Canis lupus familiaris: one gene and its partners. The protein of the gene in region 1 interacts with the protein of each later gene in a pairwise test. Links are inferred from orthologs where the notes say so. Each region holds a gene or a part of one and is shown in the gene's direction. Other genes may lie near its edges.

Region 1 (11,145 bases):
TTGTCAAAGGTTAACTGACCATTTATAATTGTGGGTTTATTTCTGGTTTTCTATTCTATTCCACTGATCTGTGTGTCTCTTTTTATGCCAGTACCACACTGTTTTAATTACTACCACTTTGTAATATAACTTAAAATTTGGAATTGTGATACCTCCAGTTTTTTTCTTTTTCACAATTGCTTTGGCAATTACAGGTCTTCTGTGGTTCCACACCAGCTTTAGAATTGTTTGTTCTAGCTCTGTGAAAAATGCTGTTGATATTTTGATAGGGATTGCATTAAATGTGTATGTTGCTTTATTTTTAAGATTTTATTTATTTATTTATGAGAGACACAAAGAGAAAGGCAGAGACATAGGCAGAGGAAGAAGCAGGCTTCTCAAGGGGAGCGCAATGCAGGACTCGATCCCAGGACTCTGGGACCATGCCCTGAGCCAAAGACAGATGTTCAACCACTGAGCCACCCAGGTGTCTCTGTATATTGCTTTGAGTAGTGTAGACATTTTAACAATTTTGTTAATTTTTAAACAAAAGTTAAAGTTTATGTAATCTCTACATCCAACATGGGGCTCAAAGTCATGACCCCAACATCAAGAATTAATTGCATGCTCTTTTGACTGAGCCAGCCAGGTGCCTCATTAGTATTTGTTCTTTCAACCTAGGAGCATGGAGTATCTTTCTCTTTCTTTGTGTTGTCTAGAATTTGTTAGCATTTTATAGTTTTTGGAGTACAAGTCTTTCACCTCTTTGGTTAACTTTATTCCTAGATATATTAAATTTTTTTAAATGATTTTGTTTATTTATTTGAGAGAGAGAGAGAGTGAGCACAAGTAGATGTGGGGAGAAGAGGGAGAAACAGACTCCCACTGAGCAAGGAGCCTGGGATCATGATGACCTGACCCGAAAGCAGTTGCTTAACTGACCAAGCCACCCAGATTCCCTGATATTTTATTTATTTATTTTGGCGCAATTATAAATGAGACTGTTTTCTTAATTACACTTCCAAATTCATTCTGTGAGGCCAGTGTTAGCCTGATACCAAACCAGATAAAGACACCATAAAAAGGATCGATAGGCCAATATCTCTCATGAATGTAGAGGCAAAAATTTTCAGCAGAATACTAGCAAACAGATTCCGACAGTACATTAAAAAATTATACACCATGATCAAGTGGGATTTATTCCTAACATGTGAACATGACTCAATATTTGCAAAATAATCAACCTGATATGTTACATCAGTAAGAGGATAAAAATCATATGATCATTGGGTCCCTGGGTGGCTCAGTCAGTTAAACGTCTGCTTTCAGCTCAGGTCATGATCCTGGAATTGAGCCCCACATTAGTCTCCTTGCGTCTCCCTCTCCCTCTGTGCCTACCCCTATTTGGGTGCTCACATGCGCATGTGTGCGTGCTCTCTCTCTCTCAAATCTTTTTTAAAAACCCATATGATCATTTCAGTAGATGCAGAAAAAGCATTTGACAAAGTGCGTGCAACATCCATTCATGATAAGAATCTTCTGCAGGTGAGTCTAGAGGAAACATATTTCAACATAATAAAGGCCTTACATGAAAAACTAAGAGCTTTCTCCCTAAAGTCAGGAATAAGACAAAGATGTCCACTCCCACCACTTTTATGCAACATAGTACTAGAAGTCCTAGCCACAGCAGTTAGACAATATAAAGAAATAAAAGGGATCCAGATTGTTAAGGAAAAAGTAAAACTCTCACTATTTACAGATGACATGATACTGTGTATATAAAAACCCTGAAGACTCTGCCAAAAAACTACTAGAACTGATAAAGGAATTCAGTAAAAATGTAGATACAAAACCAATGTATAAAGAGCTGTTGCATTCCTATACACTATTAATGAAAAATAGAATTTAAGAAGCAAAACAAACAAGAATAGGGGAAAAAAAAGAGAGGCAATCCAAGAAACAGACTCTTAACTATAGAGAACAAACTGATGGTTACCAGAGGGGAGGTGGGTGAGGAGTGGGTTAAATAAGTGGTGGGGATTAAGGAGTACACTTATGATGAGCAACCTCGTGTTGTGTGGAAGTGTTGAATTGTACTAAATGTACACCTGAAACTAATATTACACTGCATGTTAACTAACTGGAATTTAAAACTTTTAAGAAATGTACTATATTTGGATTAAGAAAACCTTGATTTACTATTTATTAATTATGCAACCTTGACTAATTCGTTTAGCTCTTTTGGTAGGCTTTAGTTTCTGAACCATAAAATGATGGCATGGATTTTACCAGTAATTCTTTGTTAGGGCTAAATGCCAAGCAAAATGGCCATAGTAAAAAAGAATAATTAGTTATTCGTGAGTAGTGTCTAATGCACACTATGATTGGCAAAGCTAATCCTCTTTTTAGTATGACTTGATTGAGGCATTTAGTGATCAGAAGTAAATATAAAGTATGTTCATAAGACATATATGCTGGCAAATTTAACAAAGGCATGATGAGCACAACAGGAAGTAGCAATTGATTATTTCTATAGTTATAGAATCCTAGTAATACTTGCTTTATTGCCCTTCAGTATAATATTGGTCTGGTTTAGTTTTTACTGATGATTAAGAGATTCTTTGAGCTGAGTTGTAATATTTTTACCTTTTCATATATATATATAACTTTTATGTTATTGCCTTTAGGCTAACTTAGCCATCACTCATAGGTGCTTAATAATACCCTTTGTCTTAAGGTTTTGTTATTCGCATGCTGTATATTTTTGACACACAACAGATGTCTAGAAAATGAGAATAATTTTTAGATATTTTAATAAGTTTCCTGGTCATATAAGAAGTTTATATCCTCCTGGAAGTCTTAAGTAATTAATTTTGTTTTCTGATCTTAAGCATTCTTAGAACTTATCAACAAAGTATATTATCATTTTTTAATATTAACTGCATTTTACTAAGTTTTTTGTTTTTGTTTTTGTTTTTTTTGCATTTTACTAACTTTGTAATAGGATCATCGAACTCAATGGTGGACAACCACCTCTTACATATAAAAGATTCCAGACTCTCATCAGCAAAATGGAACCACTAGAGATACCAGTAGAGACAATTACTTCAGAAGTAGTAGAAAAGTGCACAACTCCTCTGTCTGATGACCATGATGAGAAATATGGGGTCCCTTCACTGGAAGAACTAGGTAGGTGTAAATGAAGTTTGAGAGTTAATAAATCTCTCAGAAAATCTCACTTCTAATTTAACATATAAGGTTTTTGCTTTAAAAGGGAAAGGAGAAAAAAGTCTAAAAGAAACTCTTAAGCAAAGAAGTGATAAATTTGTACATTATTTGTTTTCTAAATATGATCTATTATCACCTTAAGATGTTTGTCCAAAAGAATAGAGACCATGTTATATCCTTATATGTGAGGACCTATCCAGGGCCCTCAGTTCATTTTTATGCTACTGTCATAATTTTTCTGCAAAGTAGTTTTTCCCAATTATTATGGTTCAATAAAAATTATTTTAGTTCTAGAAGAATATTTTTTCTTTTTTCTGTTTCTTTTTTTTTTTTTTTAGGTTTTGATACAGATGGTTTGCCCTCTGCAGTATGGCCAGGCGGAGAAACTGAAGCACTTACACGTTTGGAAAGGCATTTGGAAAGAAAAGTATAATTATAGATCATGCTTATATTTCCAAACTGGCATTTAAAAAAAAATTCACTCTTTTTTAAAAGCAATATATAGACTGTTAAACAGAAGAATTAAAATAGTTAAAATAGCATAAACCTAATTGTTTGAAAATTAACAACCATCTCTTTGTTTGAATATTTTTTCCTCCTCTGCTGACAATTTCCTCTTTATCTACTACCAGTACTACCTCTTCTATTCTTTCTGTGTAAGCTGGTATCTGATGACCATAACTTTGAAGCTATTCTTCTATTTCACCTTTACCTCAATGTCAAGGAGACAGGTTGAAAGTCCTCTCAGCTTGGTGTTAGGAATTTGAATATAATTTATTTCATATGAGTATGTGCTACACGAGGATGGCTGAAACAGAAGAATGCTCACATTTATTCTGTTGTGTTTTGTTATTAAAACATGTTTGTGACTGGGAAAATAAAATTTTATCTCCAAGAACTGTGTAACCTTTAAAAAATATGTCTGTTTTAAACACTCTTTTAAAATGGAAAAGGCAGTTAGTTAGCATAATTTTCTCTGTGTATTTTCAGGCTTGGGTGGCAAACTTTGAAAGACCTCGAATGAATGCAAATTCCCTGCTCGCTAGCCCTACTGGACTCAGTCCTTATCTCCGATTTGGTTGTTTGTCATGTCGACTATTTTACTTCAAACTCACAGATCTCTACAAAAAGGTATTGTCTAAAACTGAAGCTTATTTTTCAAAATACTTCTTTAAAAATTGCTGATAATAATACTTTGCTTTTTAACCTTAGGTGAAGAAGAATAGTTCCCCTCCCCTTTCCCTTTATGGGCAACTGTTATGGCGTGAATTTTTCTATACAGCAGCAACAAATAATCCACGCTTTGATAAAATGGAAGGAAACCCCATCTGTGTTCAGATTCCTTGGGATAAAAATCCCGAGGCTTTAGCAAAATGGGCAGAAGGCCGGACAGGCTTTCCATGGATTGATGCCATCATGACACAGCTTCGTCAGGAGGGTTGGATTCACCATTTAGCCAGACATGCAGTAGCTTGCTTCCTGACCCGAGGTGACCTGTGGATTAGTTGGGAAGAAGGAATGAAGGTGAGTATTCTTCTAACTAATGTTAGCACAGTCTTATTTTGAAGGACTCTATACCTTATTAAGACAATTCCTGGAAATTGTCTATTATTTAGATTCATTTATAGTCTAATTTTTTCAGCAGGTAAAGATTTTAATTCCCTAACACAGGCATACTCTTGGAGAGCAGAATGGTGTATTCAGACAGGAAAAATGGTGAAAACTGGTTTTATTTTTTTTTTTTTAAGATTTGATTTATTTATTTGAGAGGGAATGCAAGAAACTATAAACAGGGGGAGTGGCAAAGGGAGAGAAAGAAGCAGGCTCCCTGCTGAGCAGGAAGCGTGATGTGGGCTCCATTCTAGGACCCTAGGGTCATGATATGAGCTGAAGGCAGACATTTTACTGACTGAGCCACCCAGGCACCCCCAGAAAACTGGTTTGATGAACCTAAAGTCATTTCAGAGACTGAACCAGCCTGGCCATTAAGGGAACTATAAGGTTTAACACACTGGACTCATTAGATGAAATATTTATAAGTGATCATTTCTGTTACAAAAATGGATTTGCCCAAGAATTCTTAGAAGTAATGAATTTATATTATAAAAATTATGTAACATTTTGCCTCACTTTAACATTATACTTTTTAGTGATCTATTATGTAAAGTGAAGCATACTGCATTTTGTGACATCAACCTGTGGTCATACATAATAGGATTAGATTTTCCCTATCCAGGGACCTTTTTTTTTTTTAAAGATTTATTTATTTATTCGAGAGAGAGAGAGAGAGAGAGAGAGAGAGAGGCAGGCAGAAATCTAGGCCGAGAGAGAAGCAGGCTCCTTGCAGGGAGCCTGATGTGGGACTCGATCCCCGGACCTGGGATCATGCCCTGAGCCAAAGGCAGATGCTCAACCGCTGAGCCTCCCAGGCATCCCACAAGGACCATTTCTGATCCTCTTTTTTTTTTTTTCATCTCCTGTATTTCTTAGTACAAAGTTGTACATGAGGTAGATAGATGTATATAGTACACACTTAATGACTTTATAAAAAGACATTTTAATTCTGTTTCCCTTTTGCTGAAGGAATTCCAAATTTAAACTCTATAATGCTAGTGCCTTTTTTTTTTCTTTTTTGCTAGTGCATTTTTTTTTTTTTTCGCTAGTGCATTTTTAAAGGTCATTTATATTTGGGTGCTCCCTGTATGTAGACCAGTATATCAAACTTCTAAGTTTTTGTTAGTTATTTACTTGGTAGCATCTTTGCTTTCTTGAAAGTGTTTACTGCTTTTTTTCTTGCATTTTTAATTGAATCAGTAGCTTGAGTAATTATTTTATCCTCTTCCCAATAACATTGCAAAGACCAGAGAGATAAATTCTATTCAGAAATTCACTTATACTACTGATATTTTTCTTTCCCTGAAATAACTCAGTACAGAATAGAACATTGACAAGGAGGCTAACATTGGAATGTTCAATTTTACAGTTCTGTGCTAGATTTTCTTTGCCTTGACTTTTGATCTACAGAGTCCTGGAAAATGCTTGCTTTGAGAATTATATGTGTACAAACTAATTGGTTACTGTTACTTCTGAAGGTATTTGAAGAATTATTGCTTGATGCAGATTGGAGCATAAATGCTGGAAGTTGGATGTGGCTGTCTTGTAGTTCCTTTTTCCAACAGTTTTTTCACTGCTATTGCCCTGTTGGTTTTGGTAGGAGAACAGATCCCAATGGAGACTATATCAGGTAAATCAAGGGTGATTATTACTCAGTTTGGAATAACTAATCCAGGAAGAACGTTTCATGTTAAAGCAACACTTAAGGTTTTTTTCCACTCATCATGGGCAGCAGAGATGAGGAGATGGGTAAACAAATCATTAAATGGTATTGACTTGATTTTGGTCATTCATAGCTAATAATAAGTTTGTTATAATTTGCTTGTAGTTTATTTTATTAATAGTTTTTCTTCCTTCTCCCAAAAGGCGTTATTTGCCTGTCCTAAGAGGTTTCCCTGCAAAATATATCTATGATCCCTGGAATGCACCAGAAGGTATCCAAAAGGTAGCCAAATGTTTGATAGGAGTTAATTATCCTAAACCAATGGTGAATCATGCTGAGGCAAGCCGTTTGAATATTGAGAGGATGAAGCAGATCTACCAGCAGCTTTCACGATACAGAGGACTGGGTATGTCAGTAATTACCTTTGGTTTGTTTCTTTGGCAGGTGTTTATGTACCTATCCTTGAATTTGATCTTGATCATATTTTAATAGGAGTTTTTTTTCCCTTTAGGTCTTCTTGCATCAGTGCCTTCTAATCCTAATGGGAATGGAGGCCTCATGGGGTATTCTCCTGGAGAAAATATTCCAGGTTGTAGCAGCAGTGGAAGTAAGTGAAAAGGAAATTTCTATACTTAACATAAAGAGATTAATAATCAAATATATTTTTATTGAGTCTCACTGTAATGTTTTTTCTGCATACATGTGTACAGACACACACACACACACACACACACACACACACACGCCCTCCCTCATTCCATTAGTGATATTTGGGAGATGGAAAACATTATGTGTAGTAGAATTTAGCTCAAGGTAAAGATCTTGCAAACTGAATGAAGAGGGCAATTTTAAGGGTAAAATGAAACTTATATTTTCTGAAGGCTCATTATTTTTTAGTTTGTTAGGTGCATATCAGGTATAAGGTTATTAGTTAAGGTCAGTGGTCCTGTGAATATGGCCAAAAGATTTATCATACACACGCATAGTCTTTAGTCTTTTTGCACACGAGTTTTTCCTTACAGTCTGATTGATAGTGGTTTTCTATATGATAAATATTTGGTTGCCACATATATTCTTAATGTGTGTATTAATAACGTCAAGAAGCCAGTATTTATTGGTAATAAATACTGGTGAATCATTGTGTCAGTTTTCAAAGATTCTAACCAAAAATAGCATCATGGGGATCCCTGGGTGGCGCAGGGGTTTGGCGCCTGCCTTTGGCCCAGGGCGCGATCCTGGAGACCTGGGATCGAATCCCATATCGGGCTCCCGGTGCATGGAGCCTGCTTCTCCCTCTGCCTGTGTCTCTGCCTCTCTCTCTTTCTCTCTGTGTGACTATCATAAATAAATAAAAAAATTAAAAAAAAAAAACACAAAAATAGCATCATGGTAATTAATTTGATTACAAACAAGGCAGCATTTGAGGGATGCTTATTTTTTTTCCAAAAAGGTCACGTTTAAAATTGATATTAAGAATAAAACTTATTTTAAAAATTGAGCCTTTCTGATTCAGAAATACACTCCATCCTTTTGAGAGCATATATTTATTCTCTAACAATTAGATTAAGGAGAAAGGAACAAAACATTCATTTTAACTATCTACTTTGTGCACAGTACAAGGGGATTTTTGCCACATTGTCACAATAACCTGGGAGGTGGTGGTGGAAATAAGCCAAGAAAGGTTAGGTAAATTAACTATGATTCCACAGTAAGTAAAATTCAGATCCAGATCTGACTAGTCCTAAAGTCCTTATTGGGCCTCCCCTGCAAATGTAATGCCATATGTACTTTTATAAGATCAAGCATTTTTTTACTGGAATGTCTAGTAGTTGTCAGTGATGGCAGTATACTTCAGAAGTGTTCTTCTGAGAGTCTCCTACAATTTGAACTTCAGTAAGATATCAATTTAGTAGTTTTGTCAGATCTCTTGTTCACTTCACAGCTTGCTTCCTCTGTCCATACATGAATTTGAGGGACAGAAGTTCTGTGAAGCACATAAATAGTAGGCAGGTAACAGAAGGGTAGGAAGCAACAGGCATCAGGTGCCCAACTAATGGGTGGTGATGGTACAGACTGCCTCTTGTTCCACTCAAATCTGTATTTATTATTTGGAATTAACCATAAAAACTAATTATGGTAGGAAGTTAAATTGAAATAATTTTGCTTTACAAATACACATGTATTTTATGATATAATAGGATTAATAAATCCTGAAGTACTCTAATCATGTAAATAGTTGGCTGTAACACACTTTGTATTAGGTGCTATGAGGCGAAAAAAGTTATAAATTGTAAGATGCTGCTTCCACATACAATAGGGGAAAAAAAAGATCATTGAGCACTTAAGGAACTACAGAAGTTTTCTTGCAAGATGGTGGGTTGGGTAGCATTTGGGTAGGCAGCTGAAGGAGAGAGCATTGTGGACCTGGAAATGAGAGTGATTATGGAAAGATCCTGAGGGTTTGGACTATGCGATTAAACATTTCTCTCCCTTCTGGTTTCTGTTCCATTTGAAAGGACATTTAGATACTTCTGTAGCATATTTCTTTATGCCCTCTACTTACCCTGTTTGTAGGCTTTTATTTTACAGTATCTCAAAGGGCAAGGTTCTTTATGACTTGTACACAGATGACTTGAAGTATTGTTGTTCTTATGATAAAACGCAATCTATGATAGTAATATGTTTTAGTTTTTATTTAAAATTTTTTTCTATTAAAAATAGTAATTAGCGGGGCAGCCCCAGTGGCGCAGCGGTTTGGCGCCGCCTGCAGCCTGGGGTGTGATCCTGGGGACCTGGGATCAAGTCCCATGTCGGGCTCCCTGCATGGAGCCTGCTTCTCCCTCTGCCTGTGTCTGCCTCTCAGTCTCTCTCTCTCGCTGAATAAAATGAATAAATCTTTAAAAAAAATAAAAATAGTAATTAGCATTATTAGTCATTAGGGAAATGCAAATTAAAACCCCTAAGAGATGATATTTCATACCCACTTAGGGTAACCAACTATCACTGATTACCTGGGATTGAGGGGCTTCCTGAGACCTGGGACTTGCAGTGCTAACACTTGAAAAATCCCAGATAAACTGGAGTGAATTGGTTACCCTGAACTCACTCCAGTGCCTAAAACATGATAGACCGTAAAAAGTGTTGTGGAGGACGTGAAGAGACTGGAACCCTCATATGTTGTTGAGAGATGGGCTGTAAAATCGTACAGCCACTTTGGGAAACAGGTTGGCAGTTTCTTACAAGCTAAACATTAATTTAACATACAATCCAGAAATTCCATTCCTAAGTATCTATTCAAAAAAAATGAAAATATATGTCTACACAAAGACGTAAGAATCAGAAGAATGTTTATGATAGTTTTATTTATAATAGTCAAAATATGGCACATCCACACAATGGAATATTCATTAATAAGAAGGAATAAAATGTTGGTACATACTACAACATGGATAAACCTCAAAAATATTAAGTTAAAGAATCCAGACATAAAAGACCACATACTGCACAATTCCATTTATATGAACTATCTAGAAAAGGTGTATCTTCAAAATAAACCAAGGAAGTTAATGGTTAATTTAGATATAGGGGTAGGAATGAGAATGAATGCAAATTGGGATGAAAATGTTCTAAAATTGGATTGTCCTGATGATTACAGAACTCTGTAAAGTTACTAAAAATTATTGAATTGTATACTTAAAACAGGAATTTTATGTTATGTAAATTGTACCTCAGAACTGCTTTTAAAAAAAACTATTCACGGGAATCCCTGGGTGGCTCAGCGGTTTAGTGCCTGCCTTCGGTCCAGGGTGTGATCCTGGAGTCCAGGGATCGAGTCCCACATCGGGCTCCCTGCATGGAGCCTGCTTCTTCCTCTGCCTGTGTCTCTGCCAGTCTCTCTCTCTCTCTCTCTCGGTCTCTCAAGAATAAATAAATAAATAAAATCTTTAGAAAAAAATTAAATTAAATTAAAATAAAAAAAAACTATTCACTATATATAATTTCGGAAATTCAGAAAAATAGAAAAGAAGAAAAAAATCACCCACAATTCCATTCAGTAAAGACAGTTACTATAAAAATTTTGGTATATTTCCTTTGAATATCTTTTCTGTGCAGTTTTCCCTCCACAATATCTTTAAGTTAGAATTTTATGAGTGAAAAACCCTTGGTGCTACGGACAGTGTAACATAAGAGGAGTATGATCATATGAACTTTTTGCCCTTAGAAAATGTGGGATTTTTTTAAAAACAACAAATATGGGTTTTTTAAAGTTGTTTTCATTCTAAAATTCCCATCTTATATAATCTTGGCATTTGAAATTTAACTACTGCAGTGTCTTTGAAGACATAATGAATATGGGGATTTCTGATTTTTCTAAGTAGCCAGTCATAAGCCAGTTGGTCTAGCAAAGATCTTTACTCATTGTCTCTTATACTGTTATTCTTGTGAAAATATAATTTATTGTATTTTTATGGGAAAGTAATAGGCAGTTGAGATATTCATGAATTTAGAGACACAGGAAGATTCTGAGTACTTATTATTTAGCTCTGTAAAGAATAAAATGCTATCTTAAGGAAATTCTGAATGTATTTATTGAGCTTATTAATTTGCCTTTCATCTTCAAAACTAATCACTCCTGATTAATACTATAATTTTTTTTGCCT
Region 2 (10,296 bases), on another chromosome or scaffold:
GGGTGCTTTTCAGCCCAGGGTGAGGTTGGCAGGGGTCATTCTTAGTGCTTTTCTGGTCTGTTCCAGGTTCGGGCCTCAAGGACTTCACCCAGGAGAAGTCTGTCTTCTGCCGTATCAGGTAGCTGGGGGAAGTGGGAGCGGAACCCCTCCCACCCTCCGCTCCCTGCCTCTTTGCTGCGTGGGCGGTGGCCTTGAGGTGAAGGGTGGGTGGCCCTCCACGGAGAGTCACTAATGCCTCTTTCTCTCCCTTGGTAGAGGAGGTCCTGACCGGGATTCAGGGCCTCGGTACCAGCCATTCCGCCTAACGCCATATGTGACCAAGATCCGGGTCTCAGACGGGGCGCCTGCACAGCCATGCTGCCTGCTCATCGCTGAGCGCATCCACTCGGGTTATGAAGGTATGTGGGCATCAGGCCTGGCCTAGTAGGAGGCAGGGTGACTTCCCTGGGCTATGGGTGAAGTCTCCATCCTTCAGAATTTTGGGACAGAGAAGGTACCGGAAGGAAGAAGGTTTGAGGCCGTTTTTAGAGGGTTTGAGGCCGTTTTTAGAGGGAACATTGGACGAGCACCAGGAGCTAGGAGCTGGGAAAGGAGTATGCTTTGATCTTCAGGTTCACTCTGGGTGTGGAGTAGGGGAATTCTCCAGACCCTCTTTGTAGGCTACACAGCCCCGGGCTGAGCTGTGGGGAGGATTGCCAGCCAGCTTGAGCCCTAGGTGGCATGGGCGGGCAGGGAAGCTGGACCCTTCTGGAGAGAACCCAATGGCCACGTTTGCTGTGCCTCAGCTCCCCGGATCCCCCCTGACAAAAGGATCTTCACCACTCGGCATACACCCAGCTGCCTCTTCCAGGATGTGGATGAAAGGTGAGCTCAGGACCTGGAAGAAAATGGGGTGGCCAGGGCTGAGGCCATGGCCACTCTGATGCCACCTCCCTTTTCAGGGCTGCCCCACTGCTGGGCTACCTCCCCCAGGACCTCTTGGGAGCTCCAGTGCTCCTGTTCTTGCATCCCGAGGACCGACCCCTCATGCTGGCCATCCATAAGAAGAGTGAGTTCTCTCTCTCCTGCTCTCCCTTCTCAGCTATCTGCAGGGCTTCTCGATGGCCATGCTTGTGGTTGTATCTTTCGGGGCCTTGGTCTCCCAGGTCCCCAGGGGGTGGTCCTCCGTCCTGCTGAACCTCACCTCATTTCCCACCCCTACAGTCCTGCAGTTGGCTGGTCAGCCCTTCGACCACTCCCCTATCCGTTTCTGCGCCCGCAATGGGGAGTATGTCACCATGGACACCAGTTGGGCCGGCTTCGTGCACCCTTGGAGCCGTAAGGTGGCCTTTGTCTTGGGCCGCCACAAAGTACGCACGTAAGTGGGCCATGCCCCAGGGCTGGCTCCATGGGCTGCGTCTCTGCAGGAGGGGGCAGGCCTCAGCTTACCCTCCCCCACCCCACAGGGCACCCCTGAATGAGGATGTGTTCACTCCCCCGGCCCCTAGCCCGGCTCTGTCTCTGGACTCTGATATCCAGGAGCTCTCGGAGCAGATCCACCGGTTGCTATTACAGGTGAATGTGGAGGGGTGGGGCTTGGAAATGAGGAGATGAGGTAGGGGTGGGGAGCAGGGCTGAGCCATCTAACCCGTTTGTCCTCCTGCCTCAGCCTGTGCACAGCCCCAGTCCCAGTGGGCTCTGTGGAGTGGGCCCCATCACTTCCCCAGGCCCTCTCCTCAGCCCTGGCTCCTCCAGTGATAGCAACGGGGGTGATGCCGAGGGGCCTGGGCCTCCTGCACCGGTGAGTGTCCCTCCTCCACTCCACCCTCCAGGCTTGCATTCCCCTGGTGCTCTCAGAACCATCATGGCCAGGCCCAGAGGAGCTCAGCCCCATCTCTCTGCCTTTTCCTTCTGGTCCTGCTCTCACCATGGCCTCCTCGCCTGCTCACTGGTACCTCTCGCTACTCTGTGCCCTGGGCTTCTGATGTTGGCTGGACGCTCCCAATGCTGGCCTGCTCTGTCGCACAGGTGACCTTTCAGCAGATCTGTAAGGATGTGCATCTGGTGAAGCACCAGGGCCAGCAACTTTTTATTGAGTCCCGTGCTCGGCCTATGCCCCGGCCCCGCCTCCCTGGTGAGTTGTTTGGGGTGTGGGTGAGGAGTGAGACCTGGAGGTTCCCTGACTTCCACCCCAACCCAGACAAACTTGTCTCTCTGTTTTCTCTGTCCTTGGCCCAGCTACAGGCATGTTCAAGGCCAAGACACTTTCTGGTCAGTTCCCGGACCCAGAACTGGAGATGGTCCCTGCTCCAGGCCCAGCCCCACTCACCTTGACCCCTGAGGAGGCTGAAAGGAAAGAAGCCTCCAGTTGTTCCTACCAGCAGATTAACTGCCTGGACAGCATCCTCAGGTGAGGCCACTGTGAAACCTCCCCACTCGGGCCCTGGCTCACCCCACCTCTAGCCCCACTCTCACCTCCTCTGCCGGCCCCACAGGTACCTGGAGAGCTGTAACATCCCTAGCACGACCAAGCGTAAATGTGCCTCCTCTTCCTCCTGCACCACCTCATCGGCCTCCGACGATGACAAGCAGAGGACGGGTCCAGTCCCTTTGGGGACCAAGAAAGGTAAAGACCTGGCGTGTGCCCTGCCCCTGCTGCCCTGTCCTGCTGGCTCTGTGTCTCTACACATCTGCCTTTGGGGCCCCCCACCTTCCTATACCCTGTCCCCCTCTGGGCCTTCAGATATGCAGACTCCTGCCTCCTGTCCATGCCCTCCACCCCTGCCAGATTTCTTCTTCAGATCTCCTGGGGGTAACTGGCACCATCTCTCTGCACAGATCCACCGGCAGTGCTGTCTGGGGAGGGGGCCAGCCTGCAGAAGGAGCCAGTGGTGGGAGGCGCCCTGAGCCCGCTCGCCCTGGCCAATAAGGCAGAGAGCGTGGTATCTGTCACCAGCCAGTGTAGCTTCAGCTCCACCATCGTCCATGTGGGAGACAAGAAGCCCCCGGAGTCGGGTATGGGCCTGGCGTCAATTCGCACACAGAGCCTAGGATGGGGGGGGGTTCAGGCGTCAGGTGCCTGCAGTGTTTGAGGGTAAGGGCTGTCGAAAACTCCCAGAGGGTCTTTGGGCATCATCATACATGTGAGGGAAGGGTGAAGGGTGGTGAGCTTTCCTTTGGAGGAGAGAGGAGAGGCATGGAGGTGTCACCCTAAGGCACTGTCACTGGAGGGGACTCTATTCTCTCTTGCTCAGGACCACTTTGCACAGAAATGAGGGCCCAGAACGGGTCCTCAGTGGGGAGGAGGTCAAGAGATGCACCTGGGCCCCGGCTTGGCCGTGGGGCAGTGGCCAGGGGTTGGCTGGGCCACTGAGGGGAGGCTGTGGTGTGGCTGCAGGAATGCCTGAGGTAATTCCAATGACCTGTCTCCCCTTTCTCAGACATCATCATGATGGAGGACCTGCCTGGCCTGGCTCCGGGCCCAGCCCCCAGCCCAGCCCCCAGCCCCACGGTAGCCCCTGACCCTGCCCCAGATGCCTACCGCCCAGTGGGCCTGACCAAGGCCGTGCTGTCCCTGCACACACAGAAGGAGGAGCAGGCCTTCCTCAGCCGCTTCCGAGACCTTGGCCGACTGCGGGCGTTCGACAGCTCTTCCCCGGCCCCCCTGGCCCCTGGCGAGCGAGGTAGCCATCCAGGATGTCCCTGAGCCTTGTCCTCTGCTCAGTCTAGGACCAGACTCTCGGGGGCCAGGGGGTGCTTGAGGGAGACAGTCCTGCTCCAGGGCCCTGGGCTTGTGCTGCCTCCATTGCCAGGGCCGGGCTTAGGGACAGGCCCCCAGCTGGCCTCTCCCCACAAGGCTGGGGTTCTGGGCTGCAGCCAGAGGAGGGCAGCCCTGAGGGGGGCTGGCACTGAGACAGGCAGGCAGAGTTGCTCTGCTCCAGGTAAGCAGTTTTAAGCCGAGTTTGGGGCCAGGGGCCAAAGGACGCCCTCCTATGACCAACTTGTCGCTGGTTAAGAGACCCATAGAGACTCCTGGTTGAAGTCAGGCCAGGCGAGCTGGGACACCTCCCGCTGGGGTTGGGGCTTCAAGGGCAGGATGTCAGCCCTCCAGGTGCCTGAGAGAGGCTCCCTGCAGGCGGACACAGGACCTGGGACTGGGCTTTCCCGCCCGCCTCATCGCTCGAGCTAGGCCGAGCGCGGCCTCGACGGGCAGGAGGAGCGCCCAGGCTGGCATTGCTGTGGGAGTTTGGCGGATGGACCGGAGCCGCCTGCCCCCTCATCCGCGGACCCGCCCTGCTTCCTCCCATCGGCCGACGTGCCCCCGTCTTCCGTACACCCCCAGCTCCCCACCACCTGTAACTTTTCCTCTCCTGGCTCCTTTTGCAATAAATCCCCGTGGCCCTGCCTCCTGTGATTCTTCCCTGAAGGTTCCCTCTCCTTCCCCAGGGTCCCTCCTTGTTCTGTGTGGCCCGGGGGCCGAGCTCTTCCTGGGGCCCTCTCCTGCCCTCACCCTGGTCGGAGTGGCAGGGCAGTGAGGGTGGCAGGGATGCCGACGGCCAGGTTGAGGCCCTTGCTGATAACCCTGGTCTCTCCCCACAGGCTGCCACCATGGCCCTGCTCCCCCCGGTCGCCGACACCACTGCCGATCCAAAGCCAAGCGGTCACGCCACCACCAGACCCCCCGGGCCGAAGCCCCCTGCTATGGCTCCCACCCGCCACCTGTGTCACCCTCCGCCCCCTGGCCCCCCCCACCTGCCACTACTCCCTTCCCGGCTGTCGTCCAGCCCTACCCTCTCCCGGTGTTCTCCCCTCGGGGAGGCTCCCAGTCTCTTGCCTCTGCCCCTACAGCTGGGCCCCCTGCAGCCTTCCCTGCCCCGCTCGTGACCCCAATGGTGGCCTTGGTGCTTCCTAACTATCTGTTCCCTACCCCGTCTGGCTACCCCTATGGGGTCCCCCAGACGCCTGCGGAAGGGCCTCCCACCCCTGCCTCCCACTCCCCTTCTCCGTCCCTGCCCCCACCACCCCCCAGCCCTCCCCGCCGGTCGGACTCGCCTCTGTTCAACTCGAGATGCAGCTCCCCGCTCCAGCTAAACCTGCTGCAGCTTGAGGAGCCCCCCCGTGTTGAGGGGGGTGCCACGGCGGGGGGCCCTGGGAGTAGTGCTGGGCCCCCGCCTCCCAGTGAGGAGACTGCTGAGCCAGAGGCCAGACTGGTGAGCACTGACCCCCTGCCCTGTGTCCTTTCACCAGCTCCCACTTAGCCCCCTTCCCTCCTTCTTCCTCCTCCTTGCACATGTCCCTGACCTGTGTCCTGTGTCTCACTGTCTCAGTCTCCAGAAGATGGTGTCGTAGGGTGGGAAACCCCAGCTAAATTTCTGAAGGAGGCAGAAATCCACTGCCTCATCTGTGGAGTGGGGACAGTCCTGTCTGACAGGTGGCGAGGACATCCCAGTAGCTTCTGAGAGCACTCCTGCCTCCTAGGAAGGGTCCGGCACCTCGTCCCTGCTCTTCCCCAGCTGGCCTTGCTGTCATGGGGTGGGAACAGGGAGCACTGGGCCCAGCCGTGTTCCCACCACCCCCCCAGCCAAAGGAAGCCTTGGTGTTGATCTCTTGATCCTGTCCTGTCCACCCCCCTCCAGGTGGAGGTGACAGAGTCCTCCAACCAGGACGCGCTGTCCGGCTCCAGTGACCTGCTGGAGTTGCTGCTGCAGGAGGACTCTCGATCTGGCACAGGCTCTGCTGCCTCGGGCTCCTTGGGCTCCGGCTTGGGCTCTGGGTCTGGCTTAGGCTCCCATGAGGGAGGAAGCACCTCAGCCAGCATCACACGTGAGTGCCCCTCTCCCTCCCCAAACGCCTGCACCTCAGGGCAGGGCAGTGGAACGGGAGGCCAGGCCCTCCTCCTGCAGGCCTGGGGGGCTGCAGACATGGCCTTGAGCAAGGGCTCACTGGTGGGTGCAGTGGCTTGATTCTGGTGGCTGCCCCCCCTTTGCTTCACAGGCAGCAGTCAGAGCAGCCACACGAGCAAGTACTTTGGCAGCATCGACTCTTCAGAGGCTGAAGCAGGGGCTGCTCAGGCCAGGGCTGAGCCTGGGGACCAGGTCATAAAGTACGTGCTCCAGGATCCCATCTGGCTGCTCATGGCCAACGCTGACCAGCGTGTCATGATGACCTACCAGGTGCCCTCCAGGTGAGGAGTGTTAGAGGCCCCCTCTGTCCACCTCCCAGTCCACCCTCACTTCCCACCGAATTTAGGGGGTTCTTTTCCCGGGCTGGCTCTGCCCTAGGCCTTCCCGCCCTGCCCCCTGCTCCTCGGAGCCCCACCATTAGTTCCTTTCAGAACAAATTTTCCTGGGTCTTGGAAGCCCTGAACTCCCTGAGCCCTGGTTGAGGGCAGGAGGCATGGGTGGGAAGAATAGTAGCCTTGTGGGCTCTGGTCCTGGCTCCTAGCCTCTACCGTCCAAACCCCCTCCCCGGGCAGGGACATGGCCACTGTGCTGAAGCAGGATCGGGAGCGGCTGCGGGCCATGCAGAAGCAGCAGCCTCGGTTTTCAGAGGACCAGCGCAGGGAACTGGGTGCTGTGCACTCCTGGGTCCGGAAGGGTCAGCTGCCTCGGGCCCTCGATGTGATGGTGAGAGACGATAGGATCGAGGCTGGGGGCTGATCCCCTCCTTGTCCTCGGGGGGCGGGGGGGGGGGGTTGATTCTGAAGGATGTTTGCTGCAGGGTTAGATAGCATTTAACCACACGAGTCTTTGTAGACCTTTTCTGGGCCAACGCTATGCAGATGGACACTGTCTTGTGGTGGGTTCTAGATAACAGGGTACAGTACACTTTCCCATCTTGTTGGCCCACATGCATGTGTGTAGACGAGTATATTTGTTTGGGAGGACATTCTGGGAAGTGCTCCTGGGCTGGGGGACACGAGGAGCTGGGGTGGCAGGTGAGCAGTGAGAATCCCTCCTGACTTCTCCCCTTTCTCCCTCCAAGGCCTGCGTGGACTGCGGTAGTAGCACCCAAGACCCCGGCCACCCCAATGACCCCCTCTTCTCAGAACTGGATGGACTGGGACTGGAGCCTATGGAGGAGGGTGGAGGCGAGGGCGGAGGCGAGGGTGGAGGTGAGGGTGGGGGTGGTGAGGGTGAGGGCGGAGAAGAGGCCCAGGCTCAAGCTGGGGCCAGAGTCTCCAGCTCTCAGGACCTGGCAATGGAGGAGGAGGAACAAGGGGGGAGCTCATCCAGTCCAGCCTTACCTGCCACAGAAAATGGCACCAGTTAGACCACATTTGGGGGCCCCCTCCGAGAGTGCATGAGAAGCTTCCTTCTCCCATGTTCCACCTCTCAGAACTCGGATGTGGCTGGACCAACCAATAGGAGACTGGCCTGGCTTCTCCCACTTAGGGGGCGGGACCCCCGCCAGCAGCCCAGGGTACAGGGGCTGCCAGGGCTTCTGAGGGGGCACAGGGTGGGATTCATAAACCCGGCCCAGAGAAGCCTCATTTCCCACCTCTGGTGAAGAGCCCTTCCTTCCCCTGGGCAAGGTTGCTGACAAGCTGCTGAAGTGGTCTCTCCAAGTCCCGGCTGAGCCCAGTCCCGGCTGAGCCCAGTCCCGGTCCCTGAGGGTTGGGGCTGCACTTATTTATTGGGGGGAGACAGCTCTCTCTCACCTCCTCCCTGGGTGGGAGGAGGAGGGCCTGAGGCCCAAACAGGACCCAGCGGTCCAAACCCCTAGCTGCTCCAGGGTGGGGGAGGTTGGTGGACCATGGAGTCCCTGGTGCTGCCCCTCAGGTGGGACCCAGGTGTTCTCAGCTGTACCCTCTACCGATGGCATTTGTGTTTTTGATATTGTGTCTTGTTATTTTTTAATACAAAGAGAGAAAAACAAACCACCCCGGCCTTTGTGGAATGAAATGTAGGGTTGGGGGGAGGTGTGGCCCCGCTTTCGTGTGTGTGTGTGTGCGCGCGCGCGCGCCCGCGCGCGCGCAGGGAGAGTGACCGCCCCCTGCCCTGGTACCCCCAGCCCTTGGCGCGGGGCACCCCTGCGGGCAGAAGGGCCTTGCCCTGCCTGTAGCATCTCCTCGGCCCCGGGCGGCTGGTGCCGTCGGGCTCGCCCGCAGAGAGGGGAGCCCGCCCGGCGTGCAGGGGCCCCGAAGCAGGTGAGGGTGCTGCTCTGGCACCGGATCCCACGCAGCAGAGGGCCCCGTCGACGGGGGCTATGGGGCGTCAGCTCACGTACCCACTCAACGCTCCGGTTGGCCCCCCGAGGTGTGGGGGACGGCCGGGGCAGAGCGTCAACCCTCCGGCTCGGACCTGGGAAGGGTGTGGGGAGGTCATGGAGACCCGCGGGACCCGCAGGAGCCATCGTCTTCAGGCTGCGTCTCATTTCCCGAGTACTCCGATAGCTCATCTACCTCCAGAGGCAAAGCGCCTTCCGCCGGCGCCGTGGCTTAGCTGGTTAAAGCGCCTGTCTAGTAAACAGGAGATCCTGGGTTCGAATCCCAGCGGTGCCTGGTTCCGTAAGAAGCAGTATATTATTGCTGCGAGAGCACCGCGCTTCCAACCCTCTCCAGAGCCTGTGGGTGGCCAGCGCCTTCCGGAAGATTCTTATTCTTCCCCAGCTGATCCCACTTTGAGCTGCCGCTCCGCGCACTTTTAGCGTGAATCCGGAGCCTGACACCCCACTTTGCTTCCAGGAACCGGGGTGACGCGGGCATCCCGCGTTCGAGGGCGTGGGGCCCGGGGCTCGGGCTCATTTTGCCGGGGCCGTGCCGGGGCGGTGCGCGCGGAGGGGGGGCGGGAGCACCGCGGCCCCGGCAGGGGAGGCGCGGGCGGTTGCAGGGGGAAGTGCGGGCCGCGGCGCACGCGCACAGCCGTCCCGGGCGGAGGGGCGGGGTCGGCGGGAGGCGGGCCCGTTGATAGGCAGCTATAGTGGCGCAGGCCCCAAGCCGCACGCGGCTGTGATGGCCGAGTGGTTAAGGCGTTGGACTCGAAATCCAATGGGGTCTCCCCGCGCAGGTTCGAATCCTGCTCACAGCGTGTGTACTTTTGGGAATGCGTGCGGAGGAGAAAGCTATTTGTTTTCCTAGTGCTGCCTTCCCCCCGGGGAGGAGGACGCCGCCCGTTCCTCGGAACCTCCCCCCGCCCCGCCCCCGCTACCAGCCCTTCAGCGCCCCTTTGCGGGCCCCACGCGCCGGTGTGCACCTCCTCTTACGGCTGTGCCTGAAAAAGGCACCTCACCACTAATTTGACTTCTTGTCTTCAACCGACTGGGGGTGTGTGTGTGTGTGTGTTCTCGGTGCTACTGGGCCATCGTATTGCATTCCCTTTACCTCCCCGCAAGTCTCCCTTTGACTGTTTCATCCCTTCTCCTTTCACCCTAGACCATGAGTCCATCCTTCCTCCCTCAGTCTCATTCCCTGTGTCAACTGAGAAAATAAGGCTTTCTGGATAGATGTCCCCTCGATACCCACAGTCGCACCTGCCTACCTACCTGGCTGCCTACCTGTTTGTGGTTCCACTCCGGTCCTTCCCCCTCAGGGGTGTGGGTGAGCCTTCCATCACCTAACCCAGGCACCCAGGCCCACCCCTAAGCTTCCTAGAGCTCCCATTCCCTGCCCCACAGGGGCTCAAGGACATTGCACCGTCACACTTTTCCTCTCTACTTGGATCACTTCCACCAGCCCGCACACATACCCAAAGGCATCCCGATTAGCAGGACACCAGAAGCTCTCCTGAAACTACACAATCCCCCTTCAGCTACCACTCTGTCTCTCTGTTCCCCTCTTCTGCAAAACCTGGTATAATATACCCACTCTCCCCCAATTCCATCTTCCCATTCTCCTCTGAACCCTCTCTAATCAGGTGCCTCCCCTACCCCATCCACCAAAGATGCTCTTGCTAAGGTTACCAAATGCCTATGTGTTGCTAAATCCATCGATCACTACTTACAGGTGCTTACTCTCCCCTTAGAAAGGCTCTCTTCACCTGCCCTCTGGGACACCCTAAGGCCTCTGATACTCCTTCAACATCATCAGCAGCTCATGCACAGACTCCTTTGCTGGTTGATCACCTTCTGATCTCTAAATGTCAGAGAGTGCCCAGGGTTCAGCTTCCCAACCTCTTCTCTATCTGTACTCACTCCCTTAACGATCTCTTTACGTATCAACTAATAATATATTAACACATCCAATATGTTCATCTTCAGCCCCACAACTCTTCCCTGAATTACAGATGCATATATACTACCATCTACTTATCATTCCCACTTGGATATCTAATATCATTTCTGTTTGTGATATCTGATCACAAACAAAATGGCCAGACC
Region 3 (11,145 bases), on another chromosome or scaffold:
TTCCCTGAGGCTCGGCCTCATTTTATAGAAATCGTTTTTCCCCTTGTTGTGCAGGGAAGCTCACAGTCAGATTGAGAAGAGGCGTCGGGATAAAATGAACAGTTTCATTGATGAGTTGGCTTCCCTGGTGCCCACGTGCAACGCCATGTCCAGGAAGTTAGATAAGCTTACCGTGCTGAGGATGGCCGTTCAGCACATGAAGACGTTACGAGGTGAGACCTCGGGCTTCATCTTCTTTGTGACCTTGTCCGCACATGTTGCCTCCCTCGCCTCAGTTGTGCCTGAGTCCCCAGTACAGTGTGTGTCAGTTGACAAATGTGCAGCCTTGAGCAACAGGCCTGGTGCCACGTGGGGTGATCACTGAGCTTACATGGGGTCCGGTTGGGGTTTTGCAGCCGTTCCTCCTGCCCAGGGGGTAGAGGCTGTGATGCATGCTCGTGTCTGCACGTGCCTGTGATCCTCGGGTGCCGTGTGTAGCCGAGGGGGCCACACATCTTGCATGTAGGGTGGCCTGGGTGCCGGCTGTCAGAAGGACGGGTGCACCTAGGGATGCCGGTGGGGGGGTCCCTTCCTGTCTTTCAGAGGAAAATTCACCATGGCTCCTTTAAGGAGTGAGTCACCGGCTGATGGTTCTTGCTGCATTTTACTGTCAGGGATGAACACTGATGGTATTTTCATGTTCCTGGAACATTCCCAAACCAGATAGAGTCTTCACGAGGGAGGCAGCGTCTTCCTTCCTCTCCGAGCACGGGGCGGGCGAGCACGCGGGGCAGGAAGGTGGAAGTGGCGCTCCGGTGGGGCCTCGGACCCTCGGAGGGAACTGGAAAGTGGGTGCTCAGTCCGCTCAGACCTCTGACCCGCGTGCTACAAGGATTGTGTCTTCGTGTTTCCACAAAGCCACCAGAAGGGCACAGTCGCCGGTTTTGTCTGACTTGCGATCCCCATTCAGACCTGTCTGCGTCGTGTCCACTAGAATTTCCTCTTAGTGAAGGTGATAGAGATTAGGTTATTACAAGCTAACTTTTATTAAGTTGGAAGGAAACGAGTGACACATCTCGAGTCATAAAAAGCCGGGATGTGGCTCAGCCTGTGCCTGGTTAGTTGATGTGAAAGTCCCAGGCACATCTGTCACCCTCCTTCCCCGTGTGCTGTGAATCATGGACCTTTTCTGTTTTATTTCTTCACTGTTCTGTTTTTGCGGATTCCAGGTCATTTGCTGCTGGCATTTTTCTCTTACTGTTCTCCGATGCGATGCCAGACTGACGGCCTTTTAAGCATCTTGTCCCCTCTCAGCCCGAGGACCCAGAGCTGTAGTCACTTAAGTGATGCATTTCTCTGGGTTGCCAAGCTCATTTGCCTCGTCCGATGAAGAAGCACTCCCACCAAACGCCGTCTACAATGTATTTATTTACTCAGGGCCTGGCAGCCTGGATGATTTCCCAGGAAGGCTCAGCGTGACGATTTGAGGGACTGCTGGTCAACCCATTTAATGTCAATCTTGGGAGGAGGGAATCCTCCCAGGACCCTCTGCCGCTTGGCTTCCGGTGCTGCCTTCTCTCTTTGAAACAGATTTTTCCTTCTGTCTATTACCTCTTGGCTCCCCTCCAGTGGCCAGAGCAAACTCGCTAGGTCCCCTGTGGGCAACAGTGTTGTTTTTTCAATGGCTTCTGTCCGAGGCCCGATCTAGCCCTGTCTCTGTTAAGGAAAAAGAAAGTAAGATTGAAGTTCCAGGTGGCAGGGGCCAGGCCGCATCTGGAAGGGTGGAGGCGGTGAAGTGGAATGAGACGTTACCTGAATAGAAAGTGGACCAACTCTTTCTCTTTTCTTCTCCCTAAGGTGCCACCAATCCATACACAGAAGCAAATTATAAGCCGACTTTCCTGTCAGATGATGAATTGAAACACCTCATTCTCAGGGTATGTCGCAATTACGAGCTTGTTTTGTACACACTTTTATGAATTTCTGGGTGAGGTACCAGCCTGTGGGAATTTGATGTCTAACCTTTGGACCTTCTGAGGCCCCTCGTCTTTTGGGTCTCCACCTCTGTCTGGACAGTCTTCACATTCTTTCCCTGAGGTCTTCCTCCTCCCCTTCCACGCTTGCTTAGACAAAAATGGAAGGCCCAGGCTACTGTGGTTTTTAAATAGAAGGATGCAGGATTTTGTCAAAAATAGGTAGTGAAGAATCCCATTCCCGCATGAAGGCTTTAGAAAAGGATGGACACCGATAATTGAGCATTTGTCGTCTTCTCACTTAACCGCTGGCGCAAAAACATCCACATCTACTCTTCCGCCAAAACCCCATCAAAGCAACAAAGCTTCCAAAGACTCCTCTTGCCAAGGAGGAAAAGAAATGGGGGATGCGAGGCTCTCCCCTCCTGGCCGTAGCGCTCACTTCATCTTGCTCCTCTCTGCGGAGAGGCCGTCGAGGTGGCGCCATGCAAACTTGGCTTCCGTGTGGGATTGGGTCTGCCTCTGGGTAGAGTGAGATCAACTTGGAAATCGAAGGGAAAGAAACAGGATTCAGAAACCTGTCCTCTTGTAAACTATAAAAAGAAAAACAGAAAAACCTAACTGAAGGGAACTATACCAGCCTCCTTCCCCCCACAGCCAGGGTGGACCTTGCTTGCTAAGCTCCTACAGTATCTGGGCACCTCTCTTGAGCAGACATTTGCCAGGCCTTGGGACACCAGGCCCACTCTGTTGTCACCCTGACTTTCAGCTCTGCCGGGCTTCCGGTCCTCTGTACGTCTGGCCTGTGTGCTCACTCCAGCATTCTCTACCCATCCCTGCCTCGCGTGTTATCTTAATTGGAAAGCTTTCAGCTGCAAGGAACAGATGACCTGATGAACAAATGGGGTTTTGTTTCCCAAATATAGCTGGTCCTGGGGTAGGCCATGAGGGGGTGGTGGCTCCGTGAGGGCGGCCAGAACCAGGCTCTTCCTGTCTTCGAGAACAGTCCTGCTGAGCTAGTGTACAGCTTGCTTCCTCAGTGTAGCCACGCCAGCCAGACACAAGGGGCAGCGCAGTGTCTAGCCCAGCTGTCCCTCTTCTCAAGAAAAGCTGTGCCTTCCTGAAAGCCCGATTGTAGATGTCAGCTTCTCCAGAAGATGTTACCTGATGACCCCTAGCTTCAGGGCAAGGATTTAGATTTTTCCCGCCATCATAGTAGAGGCAGGCGAGGGTCCCCCATCAGCATTTGCCACACACACTTTCCAGAGCCACAGCCATTTGCTAGATTTTCCTCCGAAAGTGGCTCTCACCACCCAGTACAGAGCGTCAGCTGTGGTCTGGTTGGCCTGGGATGGCATGGGCCTGGTGCCTTCCTTGCCACAGAAGCCATCCTATTAGTGCCACGTTTTGGGCCACTGTGATACCATCCCTCCCATTCCTGTACATGGATTATTGTTAGGTCAGGTTTTGTCCATCCTGTATAGGTGCACTTGGGTTTTTTGAACTTCTGTTTCTACCAAAGTCTATTTATTGGGTGGCCCTATGTTCCAGGTGGTCATTAGTGATCCTTCGAAGCTGCTTGCGATAGGTAGATCCCACAGGCAGGCCTGGTGTGTCTTTCGTTTTTGAGACTTAGTTCTGTATGCACGGCCCTTGGAAAATCCAAGTCCACAATAAACACGTTGGGGGCGGGGGGGGGGGGGTGTCCCAGCAAGTTTGGGATGGTCCTTGGGCCACCTCTGCCAGGGCACAGTTACTCTGACGCAGCTCTGCACTGCCCTCTCCATCCTCCTTTCATAAGGCTGGCCCGGTCCTCAGGGAGGACCTGCTGCAGTTAAGCTACTAACTGTGTCGGCAGCAGCTCTGGAGAAACCACCAGGGCTGGCTTCATGGGCACGCACCCTACGCAGCCACACGGGGCCCAGCGCTTGTTTTAATGTCCTGCTCTTGCTGTCTGGAAGATCCTGACTTTTGAACCAGGGCCTCTGCATATCCATTCTGCACTGGGCCCCGCAATCCCGGGACAGGGCCTGATTGCCGTACTGCTGATTGGATGTCTTTAGGGGAAAAAAATGAATGTGTGTATATACACAAACGGGTTTGGTTTTGAACACCTATAAAGTGTACGAAGCCTGTGTTCTCTATAGGTTTCTCTCTGTATGTATCTTTATAGATCTACATGTAATATATAAAGAAGCTCCCTTTGCAACAGCAAATGTTTAATAACTTGCTCCTACTTTTCTGAATTTCCTGTCACATGCCCACACTTGCCAGGGTATGGACCAAGGATTTTCATGCCGTTTAAGCTAAATACTTCATCTCAGGCTTGCCTTTCCTGTGCTTCTGCATCCTGCAGCATCAGTGGTGCTGGGTCTCCCCCGATGAAACCTCTCTGTCCCCTGCCCCACCCCTGGCACCTGCCTGTGGCCATGAGGCACCATCTAATCCCTTGCCATTCCGGGAGTCCACTTCCCAGAACTTTTGTGCACAGACGGCGGGGGCCGCTCAGGTGGTGTTGGAGGGGTGGGCAGCGGGAACTGGACTTGTGCTTTTCCTCACCAGTGCAGGTCTGACTTCTCCACCAAGAGCTTTCAAATGGCTTTGGCAAGTGGCGTGTCAGGGCCAGCCTGGGTGCTCCACCTCCCGTGTTCTGAAAACTAGGCAGGCGCCCCCAGAGCTTTGGCCTGCCTCCCCCGCTAACCCCGTCCTCCCTCGCCAGGGAGCCTGCCCTGTCTTCTGCGGCGCCGTGTGCCCACGGCACCCCACCCATCTCCACTTGTCAGGTGGCCCCTAGGCCCTGGCTCCTTCACCTGGTGGTGTTTATCTGCCCGGGGGAAACAGAGTCAGGATGTTTGGAGCCTTCCCTATAGGCTGACGGGAGCTCACTCTCTCGCCCTGGATGGGTTGCAACCCACTTTGTTCCCATCAGGGGTTCAGCATTCCCTCCAGGATGTCGCAGGCACCTCTTCCGAGTCACCTACCTTTTGTGCTGCTTCCCTGCACCAACGAAAGCCTCAAGACACTTCTCGTGTTAGATGTGAGACTGTCTGCAAGGTGGTGCGCAAGTTATTAATACCCTATTTTTTGACAGAACGAGGCTTCCAGCAGATGGTGCTTGGAAAGTCTCTTCCTCTCCACTGTCCTCCCCTGCCCTGTGCCAGCTTAGGGGGCCAGCTTAGGGAGGGAGCGGCCCCAGCTCCCTTCTGGCTGAGGGGCCTGGCGCCTTCTCAGCGCAGTGGTTCCCCTCCTACTGCTTTCCTGTCTGCACAGGTGCCTGTGCCATTATTTTGCCTCTGGCACACGAATTCATTTCTTAGTTCTTTGAATTAAATTACATCCCCAGAGGCCCCTCTGTGGAAAAGGGAATTGGGTTTCTCTAGATTTTTCCAAAGAACAGACTGAGGACTGGTGAATAAAGCAAGATTAGAACTGTGTTTGCTGAGCCTGAAAGCAAGCACGTGACCGAGCGTGGAGCACCCTCCGCATCCCTGGGAGGCCCCCGGCTGGAGCCGAGCGGTTGTCCGTCCTCAGAGCCCTGGGTGTAGGGTTCACGTGCACCTAGACCCCACGAGCTGCAGCTCTCAGACTCTGCAGCTTTGGTATTTATCCGCTTCAGTCTAACAAATAGCATCCTGTCTCCGTATCTGCCTTTCCTGGGACTTGAGATGTTTTACCTGCATTTAAAGTGAAGGAGAAGGAAAGAGAACGGAGGGGAAAGTTTTGCTTTGCTTTGCTTGCCTTACTTAGGATGTAGGCAGCCCAGCCCCGGATCCAGAAATGATCTTTGAGAGCAGTAGTTCTCCATCCTGTGTACATTAGAATCATTTGGGGTGGGGGTGAGAACGATACTCCTGACCCAGCCCCACCCCAGGCCATCAGCGCGAAAACAGCAGCAGCACAAACACACAACGCGCCGCTCCAGCTGTTGAGAACCATCGGAGAGAGCGCTCCGTAAATGGCAGTGTTCAGGCTGAGGGCCAGGGTGGCCGGGATATCGGGAGGGGGTTTTGATGTAAGGGCTCCTTTCGATCTCAGATTCTATGATTCTACATAGTTACAAGTAACAAAATAAAACAGGACATTTCCAGACCTTGATATACTCCAAGGAAAATTCTTAAAATGAATTCAGTGTTGTAACTGAAATTGCTTCCGTTGGACCGTCCCCCGTATGACGACGACGACGATGATGATCCAAATGTCCATACCTGCCTTTGAGAGAATCTTCTTCTTCTCATGAGGCGTTCCTTTTGAGCGTCCTGGGCTCAGGATGCTTGTGAAACTCGATGAGTACAGTTCTGTGCTTTGGATACTTAGCAGACAAATCCTTAGTTGCTATCAGAGTGATTACAAACCGTGTTTCCTAAAGTGCGGTAAATTGATTATCCATTTCTCCTGATTAGGCAGCAGATGGATTTTTGTTTGTCGTAGGATGTGACCGAGGGAAGATACTCTTCGTCTCAGAGTCTGTCTTCAAGATCCTCAACTACAGCCAGGTATTATTGCTTATGCTTCTGTTGGTGGTGGGCAGCCTCACGGCTGCCAGAAAGGTCACCCCACTTTTTAGAATAATTATAATATACAAGCCACACATAAAAGGCTTATATTATAACTCCCCCCCCCACACACACACACACATACCCAATGCTTCTTCCAGAAAATTTGTAATTTCTTAACAGAGAAGTAAATTTAAACCTAGAAAAAAAAATTTTTTTTTTAAGTTTTATGTATTTTTTTTAGAGAGAGAGAATGCATGGCAGGAAGGGGCAGAAGGAAAGAGAATCTTAAGCAGCCTGCAATCAGTGCCGAGCCTGATATGGGGCTCAGTCTCATGACCCTGGGATCATGACCTGAGCCAAAATCAAAAGTTGGACACTTAACCGACTGAGCCACCGGGGTGCCCCTAGAAAAAATCTTTTTAGTATGTGTTCTATGCTTCCCTCACTGGAAGGTTTGACTGTGATCTCATCAGCAGCTTTATACTTTCTTATTGCTGCACAGTGAATATCCCGCAGCTAGAGAGAGCGGGGGAGGCACGAGGCAAGGGGCTACCTGACCAGGAAAGGCAGATGATAACCAGAGAATGAAACAATGGGGATCCACCCATACTGTGTTTGTGATGATGTATCCCTTTTTCGTTCTATTGAATCTCGGCTCCTTCTAAAAATAAAAAAAAAAAAAAAGAGTGTAATAATACCTTTTATGATTGTTCATAGGATGCAGTAAGATAAGCATGCCCAGAAGCTTCTAGAGCAAAGTTTTTTAAGCAGGGACACTCTGTCCCTAGCATTCTTATTCACGTATCCACCCATGCATCCACTTATTCACTCATTCCTTCACCTGCTGGTGTTTGCATGGGAAGCTGGTAAGGCAGCAGAATTGAAGAATCAAAAGGATATTTGTGTGAACTAGAATGAATGTAAGTTGAATGTATCCAGAGTGTCTTGCTCTTCTTGGTCTTGGGGCAAAGTTATGAAGGCAGTTCTTATTTTCCCTGCTGCCACACAAGGCCGTGGAGGCACACGGTGTGACACAACACCACGAGGGCTCAGTGGGGCTAGAGTCCCCGCCCACACCCTGTGCTCCTAGCAGGGCACTTGTGGCATCCGGAATAAATAACAGGGAACACGTACAGCTGAAAGACTCCTGCCTTCGAGGAGCGTGAACTATTTATAGAAGTATAAATATACGCCCTTCCCCCTCCTGTGTCACGGACACCAAAGTCCCGATGCCTCGCTCCCTGTCCTGTGTGTCCCTAGGCACAGCGATTGGACAGGTTACTTGTTCACACTGGACATATTTGAAATTCCCATGCCTAGAAATACAAACTAAAACGCAGAGCGCCTGTTGGCGAAGTTGTATTCCACGTGCTGTTGACGTGTGGTTTCCACGCTTCCTCCCCACAGAACGATCTGATCGGTCAGAGTCTGTTTGACTACCTGCACCCTAAAGATATCGCCAAAGTGAAGGAGCAGCTCTCCTCCTCGGACACGGCGCCCCGGGAGCGGCTCATAGATGCAAAAAGTGAGTCCAGGAGCAGGCCGCGGCTGCTTCCTCGGGGCCCGCCCGCACGGCTGAGCGAGGACCGCAGCGTGTGCCGATGCGCTCAGCCCCCGGCCTCCCTCCTCTCTGCCCCTTACCTGGGTCACACGTGCTCTCCCGGGCTCAATGCGGTTATCCACCTACCTTCGTATTTGTTTTGCTTTACGTAATGTCCAAATCCACAGGGAGGAAAAACAGCTATTTTGATTCTTTCTGGGTTTTAGACTCGCCCCCCCTCCCCCAGAATCTATAAATTCCCAGTTGTGTGCCCCTGAGTTTAAAGGGCTCACACCAGTTTGATTTGTGCCCCCTGAAAAAATTCCCTCTATTTACTCGAGTTACACTCATGCAGCCTCCTAAGATAAAAGTAAGAAAACTTGAAATATAAATTGGAAGTTTCTTTGGCCAAAGTGGTTCCTCATTAGTTGGGGCCCCCTCCTGGCTTCACGTTCCCCCCCCACCGCTTCTCTCACCCGTGTCCCCCCTCCCCGTCCCTCCTGCGTGAGGCCCTGTAGGTCTTCCCCCATCAGGCTCTCCCATCCGGGGAGTCTGTGTGCTCCGGCAGTTAGGAGCGTGGAGCCTGGAGTCTGGTTGCCAGGCTCACTTCCTGGCTCTACCGTTTGTCAGCTGTGACCTTGAGCAAGTTACTTAACCTCTCTGTGCCTCCGTTTCCTTATCTACAAAATAGTACCGGTTTCGTGGGGTGGTTGCGAGGATTAACTATATCACTATACATAAAGCACATGGGGCAGCTCCTGGCACACAGTGGGCACGGGGTCAGTGCCGCGAGCTCACCGGCCAGTGTGGTCATGGCCCAAGTTTCCTGCTTGCACGCTCCCCCATGTCAGTCCCCAGAGGGAAACGTCCCCAGAGAGACCTCCTTTAAACCATCCTTTTCATTAAGGCACTCCTCTTCCGAAAACTTCAACGTGGCCCCCGGTCCCTGTTGCCTTTTCTAGTCTGGCCCTGGCAATTTTTGGTAGTGACACGAAGAGAAAAAGGAGGTGATGTTTGGTCCTTGCCTTTAAGGCTTGTGCCATACAGTCGAGGAGACCTGGGGCCAGCACCCCACGTGATAGGTACCTCCATAGAAATAGTGCCAAGCAGAGAGAACAGAGGACTCGTTTTCATGTGGACCCGAGGACAGGCATCCCCGAGGAGGTGACGGCTGGGGTGGGTCTGAAAGGAGGAGTCGCGGTGGGTGCACCAGGTGATAAAGAGAAGAACAGAGCGGCGGGGGGGTAGGGGTGGGGGGAGGATCTCAGGATGGAGACGCATCCCCACTGTGTGCTAGGGTGAAAAGGAGCGGGGAGGGGGCCGTGTGCATTCCAGGGAGGCTCAGCCGGGAGGCCCTGTGGGAGGTAGGTTGGAGGGGTGACGTCCAGGAGCAGCCCCGGCAGTGGCCCCCTCTCTGGCTTCTCCCACGGTGGGCGCTCGTTATCCCCGGACAGTCTGCAGACCAGTAGCCAGTGTTCGCAGCAGGATCGCAGTCCCGCTCCTACCGGTAGCTGCTTTCTAGGAGATCTGGAAACCTTTCCAGATTGACAGCCCGCTCACCCGCGTTGCGTCTTTCAGGCGTCAGTGAGGAGGAATGGTCGGTATGAGGCAGTGAGGCAGGAAAGAGGAGGCTTTCTTCAAGGTCACTCTCCCCCTCCTGACAGACAATACTACTCTCAGTTTATCACATTTTGTGTATTGATTTGCAGCTGGACTTCCAGTTAAAACAGATATAACCCCTGGGCCATCTCGATTATGTTCTGGAGCACGACGTTCTTTCTTCTGTAGGATGAAGTGTAACAGGCCTTCAGTAAAGGTGGAAGACAAGGACTTCCCCTCTACCTGTTCAAAGAAAAAAGGTAACCATTTCACTTCTTCACGGTCTTCCTGTAGGGCCACCGGGGCGGCCCGGGTCGCGAGCTCGCGGTCGTGGGGTCGAGCCGCGCATGGGGCTCTGCGCCCAGGGTGGAGTCTGCTTCGGATCCCCTCTCCCTCCCACGCCGTCTCTTCTCTCTTGCTGTCAAGAAAATAAATAAAATCTTTTAAAATAAAATAAGAAAATCCTGATACAGGCGAGGCTGGCTCGGTGCACGGGAGCGCTCAGCACGGTGTTGGCTCAGTGGTCCCCTGCAGGTCCCGGGGGCCGTTGTCCCCTACAGGGTAGGGCCGTTGGGGAGCAGGGGCGATTGGAAAGCCCCGACGGTTGTCACAGTGACAGAGACTCGTGGGAAAGCTTCCTCCGTTTAAATTTTGTTTCCATGTGGTTGAGAAGGAACACCCTGAGCCACGATGCCCGCCGCCTCCGAGCATCCCGCTGCCCGCCGAAATTACTCTTGCCGCATCCACCAATGACTTCCATGTTGCCGAACACAACGGACACTTCATTTTTCTTCCATCTTAAAGTATTTTTTTCCCCTAGGATTCCATGAAACCTCCTACTTCTCGTCTCCCCCATCCTCTGCCACTCTAGGCCTCCTCCCCACCTCCTTTTGCTGGCTCCTCGTCTGTCCTGTGCCACCTTTCTATCTACACGTGATCCGTAGGCCATGTCTTCTCCCTTGGTTTGCGGTGCCACTTCCATGCCGGTGGCTTCCAAGTTTCTATTTCTGGCCCAGGTTTTTCTTTTGAGCTGCAGATCCGTAAGTCGGCTTCTTAAATCTATCTGCTCAGCCCTCTCAAGGGCACCTCAAACCTGATCTGTGCGGAAGTGACCACCGAGCTCCTCCCTGATGTAAATGGCACCACAGCACCTGGCTGCACATCCTGGGAGCTGGAGAGGCGCCCTCAGCCCGCTTCACTCCCTCTTCCAGTCCGGTCAGGTGCAAAGTCCTGCCACCATGAACCCCCTACAGAAGTTATCCGACTGCGCTTATCCACCTACCTCCCCGTTGACCGCATCCCTCAGACCCGGGCTACCCGCCGCTCTCACCGCGGCCGGTGGAGTAGGCTCCTCACACTTGCCTTCTCTCCACACAGCAGCCAGAATGATCTTTTTAAAGCAAACCTGTCTTTGGTTCCCTACTTAAAACCCTGTAGTGTTTCCCATTGCTCTTGGAGAAAAGTCAGGAGTCCTTAACGCGACCGCGACCGCCCCCACTCCACGTGTTCAGCTGTGGCGACTTCCTTTCGATGCCTCCTCCCCCTTTCTGCCATGGTC

What was found.
Region 2: the proteins of CRY1 (region 1) and PER1 interact in binary tests that used the Homo sapiens proteins (3 or more experiments, as listed by UniProt). The link is inferred for Canis lupus familiaris from reciprocal best matches to the Homo sapiens genes CRY1 and PER1.
Region 3: the proteins of CRY1 (region 1) and ARNTL interact in a two-hybrid assay, tested with the Homo sapiens proteins (3 studies listed by BioGRID, with this or other methods). The link is inferred for Canis lupus familiaris from reciprocal best matches to the Homo sapiens genes CRY1 and BMAL1.

What each region holds. Positions count from the first base shown.
Region 1 is NC_049231.1:32,820,789-32,831,933, forward strand, and holds part of CRY1 (cryptochrome-1), read left to right. Parts: intron 1-2,983; coding exon 2,984-3,168; intron 3,169-3,545; coding exon 3,546-3,634; intron 3,635-4,197; coding exon 4,198-4,338; intron 4,339-4,419; coding exon 4,420-4,731; intron 4,732-6,299; coding exon 6,300-6,451; intron 6,452-6,687; coding exon 6,688-6,890; intron 6,891-6,995; coding exon 6,996-7,091; intron 7,092-11,145.
Region 2 is NC_049226.1:33,160,703-33,170,998, reverse strand, and holds the end of PER1 (period circadian protein homolog 1), read left to right. Parts: intron 1-66; coding exon 67-118; intron 119-255; coding exon 256-398; intron 399-785; coding exon 786-864; intron 865-941; coding exon 942-1,048; intron 1,049-1,203; coding exon 1,204-1,357; intron 1,358-1,445; coding exon 1,446-1,554; intron 1,555-1,648; coding exon 1,649-1,780; intron 1,781-2,007; coding exon 2,008-2,113; intron 2,114-2,217; coding exon 2,218-2,389; intron 2,390-2,474; coding exon 2,475-2,605; intron 2,606-2,817; coding exon 2,818-2,994; intron 2,995-3,419; coding exon 3,420-3,662; intron 3,663-4,578; coding exon 4,579-5,189; intron 5,190-5,615; coding exon 5,616-5,802; intron 5,803-5,973; coding exon 5,974-6,163; intron 6,164-6,454; coding exon 6,455-6,605; intron 6,606-6,963; coding exon 6,964-7,251; 3' UTR 7,252-7,861; downstream 7,862-10,296. UniProt on the Homo sapiens protein: Transcriptional repressor which forms a core component of the circadian clock.
Region 3 is NC_049242.1:36,904,588-36,915,732, forward strand, and holds part of ARNTL (aryl hydrocarbon receptor nuclear translocator-like protein 1), read left to right. Parts: intron 1-54; coding exon 55-212; intron 213-1,836; coding exon 1,837-1,916; intron 1,917-6,352; coding exon 6,353-6,445; intron 6,446-7,855; coding exon 7,856-7,973; intron 7,974-9,697; coding exon 9,698-9,847; intron 9,848-11,145. UniProt on the Homo sapiens protein: Transcriptional activator which forms a core component of the circadian clock.